3 linked regions of the Caenorhabditis elegans genome follow. The protein of the gene in region 2 purifies or fractionates together with the protein of the main gene of each other region. This does not show direct contact. Each region holds a gene or a part of one and is shown on either strand. Other genes may lie near its edges.

The links.
Region 1: the proteins of cdr-6 (region 2) and F17E9.5 fractionate together in Caenorhabditis elegans (co-fractionation; one large-scale study listed by BioGRID). This does not show direct contact.
Region 3: the proteins of cdr-6 (region 2) and acs-5 fractionate together in Caenorhabditis elegans (co-fractionation; one large-scale study listed by BioGRID). This does not show direct contact.

What each region holds. Positions count from the first base shown.
Region 1 is NC_003282.8:8,344,202-8,347,098, forward strand, and holds F17E9.5 (DUF7087 domain-containing protein), read left to right. Parts: upstream 1-1,616; 5' UTR 1,617-1,681; coding exon 1,682-1,762; intron 1,763-1,895; coding exon 1,896-2,303; 3' UTR 2,304-2,345; downstream 2,346-2,897. Other genes in the region: lgc-5 (Neurotransmitter-gated ion-channel ligand-binding domain-containing protein), read left to right, coding at 1-91, 132-284; F17E9.18 (Neuropeptide-Like Protein), read right to left, coding at 2,690-2,839, 2,890-2,897.
Region 2 is NC_003283.11:12,411,941-12,415,532, reverse strand, and holds cdr-6 (CaDmium Responsive), read left to right. Parts: upstream 1-1,831; 5' UTR 1,832-1,834; coding exon 1,835-1,939; intron 1,940-1,993; coding exon 1,994-2,125; intron 2,126-2,170; coding exon 2,171-2,293; intron 2,294-2,346; coding exon 2,347-2,414; intron 2,415-2,508; coding exon 2,509-2,764; intron 2,765-2,810; coding exon 2,811-2,960; 3' UTR 2,961-3,046; downstream 3,047-3,592. Other genes in the region: cdr-2 (CaDmium Responsive), read left to right, coding at 1-65, 112-234, 281-348, 393-651, 700-849; cdr-7 (CaDmium Responsive), read left to right, coding at 3,499-3,592.
Region 3 is NC_003281.10:13,539,587-13,545,035, forward strand, and holds acs-5 (Long-chain-fatty-acid--CoA ligase), read right to left. Parts: upstream 3,949-5,449; 5' UTR 3,944-3,948; coding exon 3,806-3,943; intron 3,260-3,805; coding exon 3,146-3,259; intron 2,889-3,145; coding exon 2,753-2,888; intron 2,685-2,752; coding exon 2,413-2,684; intron 2,173-2,412; coding exon 1,744-2,172; intron 1,700-1,743; coding exon 1,307-1,699; intron 1,252-1,306; coding exon 989-1,251; intron 940-988; coding exon 621-939; 3' UTR 553-620; downstream 1-552. Other genes in the region: lron-13 (eLRR (extracellular Leucine-Rich Repeat) ONly), read left to right, coding at 1-366.

The sequences.
Region 1 (2,897 bases), on a different chromosome or scaffold from region 2:
ATTCCCTTCTAAAACCAGTTCTGTATCCAGTATGGATGTTCCCGAGAACATCATTGCGCCTGTTTCTCTTCTGAAGTCGTCATTACATAAGGTAAACCACCATGATTTGAACATTAATTGATATATTTTAGACTGCGTTTCTTGTTCGTGACACTCTGCAAGAAATGTCTCGCATTAATGAAAATCAGTTGCTCTGGCTCAAAATTCTGGATAAAACTGATCTAATGTGTCTTATTCTGTTTCAAGTTGCCAATGTTGTAATAACAATTGTATATTGGAAATAAAAATCAAAAATAACTTTCAATAAATTTATATTTACCCGTTTAAAAAATTTGATCAATTCATAGGGATAGATAGTCCTAGTGGCAAAAATTGGGTACTTGTTTGACAGTAAATTAAAAAATATTTAAAACGTCTCTAAAGCACCCTCAAAACAAATGATCGGTTTTAGTGAAGAATAATTTATATTAACAACTTTCCTGCGCGAGAACATGGAATGTTTGGACTTTTTTAGAGTATTGTTTTCTGCGGGGTTGACAAATTTTCAAGAGTCCCTAGGCCTTCTACAGTGCCGGCCATAATTCTATCCAATTTTAGTTTTTTGACAATAACTTGTTTCAAAGTGATTCGTTTGAGTTGAAAATTCACTATAATATGAAAATGATCAAAACATAACTATTACTGCAAGAATTATAAAAAAAGCAAAATTTAAAAAAATTTCGGGGAATTTTCAAAAATTCGAAAAAGTGAAAATTATCTAAATTCTGAAAATAGGTTCTTTGTGAACTGGATCGGTTTTATCTGTCTACGAAACTGTCATTAAACTAGTAAATGAATCTTTGTGAATTTATTTTTGGCAATTAAAACTTAGGTGTCACGTGACAACAGACCATAAGCTTACCTGCAACTTGCAAGTGCTTGAAAATGGAAGAGTCTTTCTATTTTCAGTCATTGTGGCTATGAAATCAGTCTCATTCATTTTTAAATTAGGTTTTCTACATTGTTCAAGACTATTCTATTGATTTTGTATAATGTTTCTATCTATCTCGCTGGATATAAGCATCGCAGAGACACTCAGTGCTTACCAAGTATGTCAATTTTTGTCTTTGCCGCCTTGGTAAAGCTACCCTAACCCCCTTTTTTTCTAATGTGTGCAAAAAGTCAAGCAGTCAGAGTGAGGGATGGTAAAGCTATCGCACCTGCAGCAAACTAACTTCAAAATAAATTATGGTTTTATAAATTAGGGTAAATTAGGTTTTGGTTTTCTCAAATGTTTTTTTTCCGCAAACGTTATTGGATTTGGCCTATATATATTCTCCAGGCCAACTAGAAAGCATTCAGCTGGCTAAAAACACGCGGTTATCGGTATATTCATAATTGAACAAGGCTTCCCTCAAGTGACTAAAAAAGCTTGTTTAATTACATGAAACGGATGAACTAGAAATTCTTTAATTTCTTTTTCGATGACCGTGATGTTTTACTTTATTTCAAAAATAATTCCAAAAAACATCCAGAAACTTTTTTATAAAGGTTGTTTTTTCTCCGCTTCAACCTCGACCTTTCTTTATCTCCACGGTCAATCTGCCCTAGATCCGTCCGTATAAAAGATCGGAAAATGTGTAATTCAAATCAGTCTCTGCTCGAATCACCGATTCTCTACTCACTCGACTACTTCTCTGCAATGGATCAAATCCCACCGTACGAGTTCAATAAGTACGTGCTCTACGCTCGTGGTGCCGTCATCGTGTGTGCTTCATTTGAGGTTCGTTCTGTGCCGTTCGTGGTCCTCGGAGGACTGGTCCTGGTTTTTAAGGGCTGGCCTCTAAAGACTTGTCCTGGCTCTTGGTCTTTTGCCCGTTTTCCAGAATGTATAGAACATCATGAAATATTTGCAGCTCCTGATGGTTCTGTTCGGTTCCCTCGGCGATTGCAATTTCCTTGCCAAGCTATTCTACTTCATCTTCCTCGGTGGAGCAGTTGCCGTCTCATCGCACAACATTGCTCTCAACATTGATGGTCGCGAGGAGATCAACAAGGTTCTTACCTCGTCTGACAATGAAGTTCGTGGAAAGTCTGCCGCATTGGTTCTTGTCCCAGCTCTTGCTGGTATCTTCGTCTTCTTGTGTGTTTCTGGGCATGCATTCTTCTCACTTTTCGTGCTCATCCACGTGCTCGCCGCTGTTGGACAACTCGGAATTGAAGCTTATGAGTTCAAGAAGGGACAATCTGGAGCTCCAGCACAAGACCCAGCCGCCACTGCACCACCAGCCCAGGATCCAGTTGCAGCTCCACCAGCACAGTAGAAAGAATACTTGGGGGTTTTTGAAATAAAAGTTTTTACTTGCTCTTTTTGATCAGGAATGTAATCTGCAAATTCTGCTAGACTCGGTCGCCAAAAAACCTGGAAAAACTAAGTGCTCTTTTCTACTGTAGTTTCAGAAGAGTGAGCATCTTGTTGTAAGAGTAATATTTTGTTGTGGTTAGTCCGAAGAGAGGCTTCTGTGATTACTTAAAAACTATCGTAACTATCAACTTTTTGAGCAAATACTGGGTTATTGGAGTACTTTAGTATGATTGCTGTTCGTTTCGCTGGGTTATTTCAAGGATTCTCGCAAACTGGAATAATTCAAACACTTTCTAAATGCTCAATAATCTTTATTATTAGTTCCAACTCCAACAAGAGAAACATTCATTTTCTTCCCCATCCAAGTGGAGTCGGTGGACGATAGATGGTATGTCTTGCATTTGCAGATGGGATGAAATTGAATGAACTTGGCTGAGGAGCTCTTCTAGCTGGGTTGAACAGTGATGGTAGAATTTGATTAGTTGGAATGAATTGCTGTAAAGTATTATACGTTTCTTTTGCTTGAAAGTTTGAAATCAGCCTACCGCGGAAA
Region 2 (3,592 bases):
CAAATTTGTCCCCGTTCTGCATAAAAGTTGAAATTTTATGCAGAGCATACAACATTCCATATGAGGTAAGAAGAAAGCTATTCAATTGTTGAATTACATCCAAAATGTTAGATATGTGATGACAAGCTTCGTTGGTCAAGAAACGGTTCAATTCCATTTATTGAGTTGAATGGAGAACATATCGCGGACACTGATCTCATTGAAATGCGGCTTCGAAGGCATTTTAATATCCCAGTGAGAATAACAATAAATTCTATATTTCTACAAAATTCAATTTCAGTCTCTACCAGCTGCTCAAGAAGCACATTCTGTAGCCTTGACAAGACTTGCAGATAATCATTTGTTCAAGTGAGTTATTCAAATACTCTGATTTTTAATGGTTTTTGTTACAGTTTGCTTATCCGTTACAAAATAATAGGAGATGAATTTTTCCATATTCTTGTCAGAAGCATTGGTATTCCAAAATTCCTTCAGCCACTTCTCTTTCCACTTATTCGAGCCTCATTTGGAAAGAAAGTCTATCAGAGATCGACAGGATCAATTGGAGATTTTGAATTAAAAGAAATGGATGATATTCTTCATAGAGATTTCCAAACAATTCAAGATTATTTGGGAGATCAAAAGTTTTTGTTCGGAGATAAAGTTACAGCGGTTTGTGAAATCAATTAGAACCCAATTTTTTATCTCATAAAATTTCAGGCAGATGCAGCTGTATTTGGTCAAATTGCGTCGGTGATTTATCCATTCCGGTGCAGTATCAACGATGCCCTTGAAAATGATTTCCCAAAAATTCTGGAATATTGTGAACGAGTTCGTCAGGAAATATATCCAAATGATTTTACAATTTAATTTTTGTTTTATGAAAATAAATGTTCATTTTCAAATGAGGAGGCAACTCCAAAAGTGATATATTTTCTTCTTCCATTTTTGAAATTGATAAGAAACCTTGTCATCATTTCCACTATTGTTTACTCAAACAAGTGTGGATGGCAAAGATTGAAAAATCAAAGATTATCTTCAACAATTTAAATGTTTCTTATGGAATTATCAAAGCAAACTATTCGCTTTTGTCCAAATTTTCAATTTTCTAAAGTATGCAAAGAAATTTGGAAATTCTCGAAGTTTTCCCGCATATCTTGGCTACTTAAAACATTTTTTCAGGTTTTAGCATAATTTTTAGAATTCAAAAACTTTGTAGAAGAAATACGGAGAAATTCACAAAACAGCATCTTAAAAGCTATCTAGTTGTTGTGAAAGCAAAGGTAAAAGTGCAAACCAACAGAATAAAAAACTAAAATGTTCAAACTTTAACTTATATTTCCTCAAAATAATAGTTTTTTGTACGAATATTGAAAAACAAATGAAGTGATGTTGGTTGACCAAAAAATCAACTAATGATAATTAAACCAAACTAAGCACAAACTTCACTACAAACCACATACCTTTACCTTCTTTTTCTGTTTCTCCTTTAAAATTTAATATAAAATGAAAAGTGGCTCAACGAATACTCAAACTTTTCAAAGTCCGCTATAAAATCTATTTTCCAAGTTGTTTAGACATTGTAAAGATAGCAAACATGACAATATTCTTTTCCACAAAATACATTGTGTCTAACCGTCTAATGTCTCTCAAAACACACGTTCACTGGCTAGACTCTACCCTCATTGCAAGATGGCAGTATTAAATAGAGTCGATACTCATTTCTTCTTACCTTTTTTTTTCGTCAGTTTTGAGTTCTAATTAACGCAACTAACGTCTTAATTTGTAAAATAATAGCAACTCTTATATTTATTGATTTTTTTCTACTTTTGAACGTGAAAAATTATTTTCCAGAATGGTGTGTTGCTGTCCAGTGACAACAACCCTAGTGGTTGGTGCAATCGCTTTTTTCATTTACAAGAAATTCTTCACGCCACCAACAATTAAACCAAAGCCGGCGGTTAGTTTCTTTTTTTTTTTTGAAAATTTTTAATTTACGAACAAATATTTTTAGATTCACAAAACCGACTACAAGAAAGATACTGTTTATCTTTACCAATTCAAAAGACTGAAAAACTGCCCAAATCTTTCACCATTCTGCATGAAAATTGAGATTCTTTGCAGAGTCTACAATATTCCTTATGAGGTTTATTTCTTTTTTTGCTGAACAAATTTTGAATTTAAATTTCAGATTGTGGAGAGTTCAATGGCTCGATCGAGAAATGGAACTTTACCTTTTATCGAGCTCAATGGGGAACACATTGCAGACTCTGATCTCATTGAGATTCGCCTGAGACAACATTTTAAGATTCCAGTAAGTAATTCGAGATGTTTTCAAAATTAATTTTGCAAAAATATATATTTCAGAGCCTCCCAACCGAACAAGAAGCGCAGTCAGTTGCTTTGAGCAGAATGGCAGATAATCATCTTTTCTAGTAGGTATTTACATTTAAATTCTGAAGATGATTAGAAACAGAAGAAAATTCATTATCTCATTGAAATTTATAAGTTCGAAATCATTTTTTACAGTGTACTTCTCCGCTACAAGAGCTCAGTTGACATGTTTTACGAGATCATTGTCGGGCTTCTCGGTTTACCATCAGCATTCAACGCCGTATTGGTTCCTCTGGTCAAAGCTGTGTTTGGAAGCAAAGTTTATAGTCGTTGTGTTGGGGCAATTGGAGATTTTGAGCCACATGAGCTTGATGAGCTTCTTCATAGAGATCTCAAAGTAATTCAAGACTCTATCAAAGGGAAATTCCTTTTCGGAGACAAGATCACACCGGTTTGTTAATTTATAGTTGTATCCTTTTTACCTGGGAATTTTCTAGACTGATGCAACCGTATTTGGACAATTGGCATCCGTGTATTACCCACTTCGTTCGCATATCAACGACGTGCTGGAAAAGGATTTCCCAAAAATTCTTGAGTACTGCGAAAGTGTTCGCAAGGAAGTGTACCCCAATGATTTCACCATCTAACTTCAATTTTTAGTTAATTTTTCTTGTCTTACCTTTTCTTTAGCCAAATAAAAGTGTCTATAACAATAAGTATTTGTATCTTCAAAAGCTTTGATAACGATAAAACAATCAACTTATAACAAGAGGCTTCACATAAAGTCAGAAAAAATTTGAGAATGGCATTATTTTGCTCAGCAATTGCTTAGGCGTATATACGAATTGCATATCTTTAAAGATATACACTGACCCAAATAATAGTTTTTGTTTTGAAGCTATTTTTAGTTGAAATTCGAAAACTTCATTCCATTCTAATAGTTATATCAGCTAACCTCAAAAATGCTCAAAGCTCGTAAATCTGTTTCAAAATATATACCTAAATAGCTTTGATCTGAAATAATGTTTTCTTGATCTCTTCGGTTATTTTGACCTCTTGATCTCTATTGAAAGACATTAATTTAACACTTGTGTAAAAAAGATCGAGAGATAAGATAACGAGAAGGGCAAAAAAGAGGAAAAGGACACCTCCGTCTACATTCAAATCATGTATCAAGGGTTGAAAATGTCTATTTGTGCCCACTCTAAACTGATTTTTGCTTCTGCTGCTGCTATTTATGCTGTTTATAAAATCAACAAGTTCTTCACTCCACCAACTA
Region 3 (5,449 bases), on a different chromosome or scaffold from region 2:
ATATCCCATATCTCCGCAGCTAAGAACTCGAAAATCAAAAATCTGCACATAGAAAATTGTCACCTAGAATCCACTCAGCATCTCTTTGAGATTTCCCAAACCCTGCAAATGCACAATTCGATAATTTTCTCCTCTCCCCGTGGCTTGGGAACAATCTCCAGCGCACAATTGCAAAACAACACGTTGCTGGAGTGCTGTAATCTAATCGAGTTGGATTCACGTTGCGATTTGCATTTTTTTGGGAGCCGATGTGTGGAAGAGGATGACGTGTCAACAAATCATTTACCAATTACCTCAGGATCAAATATTACAAGTTTTGATGTATATATTGCAATTTACCTATTCGTGTCAAGGATATTACTTTAATAAACAATCAAGCTTTCCTAAAAATATGTGTACAACTTTTAACGGTTTCTGAAGAATTCCAGAACGTAATCTAACTTGGTCTCCGCAGTTACTGCATAATTGTAATTAGTATTTTGAATTAATGATAATAGTATTAGTTACCTGAATATCAATTTTTCACTCATATTCTGCTCCTCCAAAGATTTTACTTATTTTTGGTTTATTAATAAATTCCAAGTACTAAAATATACATAGACTAGAATCAAAATAATCATTTAAAGATTTGGAAATTGCTTATACACTTTTGCCATGCCATCCTTATATTTCAGCCTCAATTGTGGTCGTTTTGCTTTCAGCGTTGGGGTTAGAAGTCCATTTTCGACAGTAAACGTGTCAGACGTTAAGATCACTTTTTTAACTTGCTCGATAGAATTCAACTTGTTAGCTTTTCCAATTGCATGCAGCTCACTGAGCACGAACTCCTTAGCCTTCTCGTCATTGCAGATTTCTTCAATTTTTCTTGATCCGGATCCTTGTTTATCATTCCATTCTTTAAGCACATCGGGTTCTGGCACGACAACAGCGATGAGCCATCTGAAGTCATTATCTCAATGTTGAGAAATCTAACGAAAAACCAAGTTACCTTTCCAAGCTATCTCCATCGACATAGACCTGTTGCACAACGGGTGTCCTAATGTAGACCTGCTCAATTTTTTCTGGTGCCACGTATTCTCCCTGCGCCAGTTTGAAAATGTGCTTCTTTCGGTCAATGATTCGAATAGTTCCGTTTGGAAGCATCTCTCCGATGTCTCCGGTTTGCAGGAATCCCTCTTCATCAAACAACTCGGCGGTTCTCTCTGGATCCTTGTAGTACCCTTTCGTCACACATGGTCCCTTGATTCGGATCTAGAAAAATTTTGAATATTTTGGATGAAACTGCCTTTCTTTAATAAATGCTCACCTCTCCTTTTCCATCCTTCGCAAAGTAGTTCAAATCCGGCACATCCCCGAGCTTCACCAAAGCACATGGCGCCGGAGCCCCACAATGCCCGGTGCTCGGGTCTCCCATCCAGGTAAACGTTGCCAATGCGGTGCACTCGGTCTGACCGTACCCTTCGACAATTGTGGTTCCAAGTGTGACTCTGCAGGTCTCAAGAACGGTGGAAGAGATTGGCGCGGATCCTGTAACCATGAGATCTACTTTTCCTCCTATTTGTTGTTGGATTTTGTTGAACACCAGACGATCCCAGATAGTGTCACGACCGACTTTTCCGGCTTTGACGAGACTGAGCTTGCGGGCAAAAGCAAAATTGTACACCAGTTTTGCCATAAACCCTTGCTGTTGGACTTTGCTCTAAACGTGTACATTTTTTTCAAAAATTAACACACAAGACTTACGGTAATCGCATCATAGAGTCGATTCAAAAGTCGTGGAACAACCGGGAACACAGTAGGCTTCAGTGTCTTGATATCATCAGTGAGGCCTTGAATGCTTCCACGGAAGTAACCAATCTTAGATCCAAACCCAAGAAGTGTCCAGTGAGTGAGCTGCTCCATCATATGGGAAAGTGGGAGGTAGGAGATGTGGACCTGCGTCGCATCAATCATCGACGGTTGGAATGCAAATAGAATCTTCAAGAATCCGCTAATATTGGCGACAATGTTTGAGTGGGTCAGCATAACTCCTTTCGGGGTTCCAGTGGTTCCTGACGTATAGCAAATAATGTAGTTGTCATCTGGTTTTGGGAGGTTATTGGTGAATGGGTAACGGGATCCGAGGTTCAAGGCGTTTGTGAGAGATTCGACGCGGATGGTGTCGATGATGGCCTGAAAGCATGTTGGAGATAATTTTTATAAAAATATTTATTATTTGAAAATGTTATGTAAATAAATCTAAACTATCATAAAAATTTTGTTTATCGGCGCCACCTTTGACTAGGTTATATTGATTCATATCATCCGCAACCTCATAGTAATATAGATCATGCTATGGACAGTAATCTAGTGGCAAGCTACTCAATAAAAGAGTCTAATGTGTAGCCATAATATGGTCCTAGCCCCACTTACAGTTCCATCCTTCAACTCATCCGCACTATCGATAACAATGATATTCTTCAACGTTGGCATATTTTCTCTGTTCTTGATCAAACTCTCTGCTTTCTTGAACGAATCCACAATGACCACACTGATTTCCGCTTGAGAAATGATAAAAGTGGCGGCTTCTGCACCAAGGGTGTCGTAGAGTGGAACCACTACCATTGACTGCTCGACGCACGCGACGGCGCTGACGAGCCATTGTGGTGAGTTTCGAGCGTAGATTCCGATGTTGGTGGTGTTGGCTGAAACTTTTTTTAGGAAACGCGAGTTTCAATTTCTGTCACAGCAATTTCTTCTGATTCACACTAACCTGGAGTCAGTCCAAACTCATGTACTAATGTCATTGATAAATTCTTCGCCTGTTCATGAACATCATCATAGGTTAGGAACTCGTAATCTGCGTCGCCAGATGACCGGGTACCCACACATGGACCGCCATTGCTTTCCTAAAAGTATACAAATTATACAATTTTAACGGAATATTCAAAAGGTTTTTGTTGTTGCATTGATTTCTGAATTTTCGTCACATTCTGTACTCTTAGAACTTCCAAGAATTCGAAAATTTACGATGTTCTTTGTATCTCCTTTTTCACCACCGCCAACCGCTTCCCCGTCATTGATAAGATAAGAAGACAAAGTTCGGGACAGAAAAGGACATCACACCACCCGAAAAAGCAAAAAAAAAGTCCCAAAAAAGACGAACCGTTTTTCCTTTGACAAAGACGTCATGAAGTGTGGCGACTTCTGGGTAGAATCTAGTGAGAACGTCTTCGGACTCATTTTCCATTAGAGCACTTTTCCATACTCCTGGTTGACCCTGTAATTGCACCGTTTGGTAGTGAGTGACTGGTCACGTGCTTTAAGTTAGAGTTAGGCCATGGGTGGAGACTATCTGGCCGACCTTTTTAAAGGTTAGGCCATGCTTGAAAGCGACTAAGCAGAACTTTAGGAAAGTTAGGCCATCCTCAAAGTCAATTTTACCGAATATATTAATTGTTAGGTCGCTAGGACCGACTCGATTGGAAATTTATATTTTAGATTTGTATATTATTTGGATTATATTACTATTTTAGATTAAGTTAGGTCACTAGTTAAAATTCTAGTCTGTTTAACGTTTTTTTTCAAAAGTTTATTAAGTCAAAATTAGGCCCTTGGTTTTTATGGCATGGTCTAACTTTTCGTCGCCCCTTTTTGTTAAAAATTTCCAACGAAAACTGGGAAAAGTTGCAAAAACTTCCATTTTACAGCGATTTTTAATGGATGAAATGCACATTAACTCAGATTGACAGTTGATAACTGATAAAGTTAATTGTCTGAAAAAATCCGAACAAGTTTTTCCCCATTATCTTCTTATAAGACTCACCTTTACTTCAACAGCTTGCTTATCAACAGAAAGCCCATTTGGAAGTGATAATTTTGCGGTTTTTAACAGTTTACAATACAAAAAATAAGTGGAACCAAGAATTGCGGCTGCCACTGTTAAGGCTGTTTCGTTGGTCATATTTCCTGAAAATAACTGGTTTTAACTCTACATTGCGAGAGATATAGAAAACGTTGTCAACCAAAAAGTTTAAAAAATATTGCAAGAATTATTTTGTTAGTTGACAATTTTTGATAAATGTTAAGGGTACAATATACATAGTTATAGAGGAAGGGAGATTGATAGACTTGAATTGTTTTATTATTTTATTTCAAGAATTTTTTTCATTAAATTATTTATGTTATCTGTTCTAAAATTTAGAAGATTAATACTTAAATACAACTTTGGCCAAAAAAACAATTTGAATTTTCAACTTGAAACCGACGTTGTACAGTTTTTCAAAATAGTTTTTGTTCAGTTGAAGTGAAAATAAAGAATTTATTTTCATCTGAAATTTTTATTGTGAATTTTTAAATTTTGAAATGTCGGTTCTTTATTATTAAAAAAAATTCAAATTCCCATATATTTGATACAAAAAAAAATCATCGAAAATTGTAAACTAACCAAATTCAAAAAGTCAAATTAAAAACTTAACCAGAATAAATTTTAAAATTAAAGTATCTGTCTTGTAATCCAATGAATCAATGAAACAAACTAACAATTGAACAATTTTTGACTTTTTGAATTTGATTTTTTCAGTCGCGTCACTTGTAAATGTTATTAACAAAAAGCTACTAGTTTGTCACAAAAATTTAGACTCAACTCCGACACCCCAAAATGTTGATCTGAAAATATTTCCACTTTTTGAATACTTTCCCAATATTTGTTCGGGGGCATGTAGAATTATTCCAACAAATATATGTGTTTATTTTCCAAGGGTTCAAGGGATATATAAACATACTGTGAGCTTTTTTTTAAAAGAAAAATTTAAATTAAAAATTTTTGCCAAATCCTAAAGTCTGCAAAACCAGCTTTTCGAGAATTTGTACATCTTTGAAAGTAGTGCCAAAGTACACTAAAAATGTTTTCCTCGAAATTTAAGCACACCAGAACGACATGTACCGTTTTGAAAGTCTCTCTTTGAAAAGAGATCAAGCTGGAAAACCCAGATGTACACTACAACTAGGATGACTACAGTTAACAAATAGATACGTGCTGAAAATAACATGGTACTAATACTACTAATTGAGGGACATAAAGAACAAAGAAAATGATTGAGAATCTCTACAGATGGAAGGAGGGAAGAAGAGATGTGTTAGAGACAGTAAATGACACGGGAATCATTGACAAGATAACAAAAACTCTCTCGTGTCTCTGCGTCTCCATACCTCCAATACACTATTTCCCTTATCAATGCCTACTGGGTGGACGATATACAGGGCCAACTAGCACTGCTAATTACGATTGGACAGAGACAGAAGACAAAAAGTGTATTATGTTTCTTTTTACTGAAATGGTCGGGTTTAAAGTTCGTCAATACCCGGCTGCAATGGGGCGACTTTGACTGGAATAGAGTTTGGTCAAAGTGGTGGAAGTTGTAAGAGATTTGGTTAATTGTAAATGTGCGTGGTGTCAGAGTGTCTCATT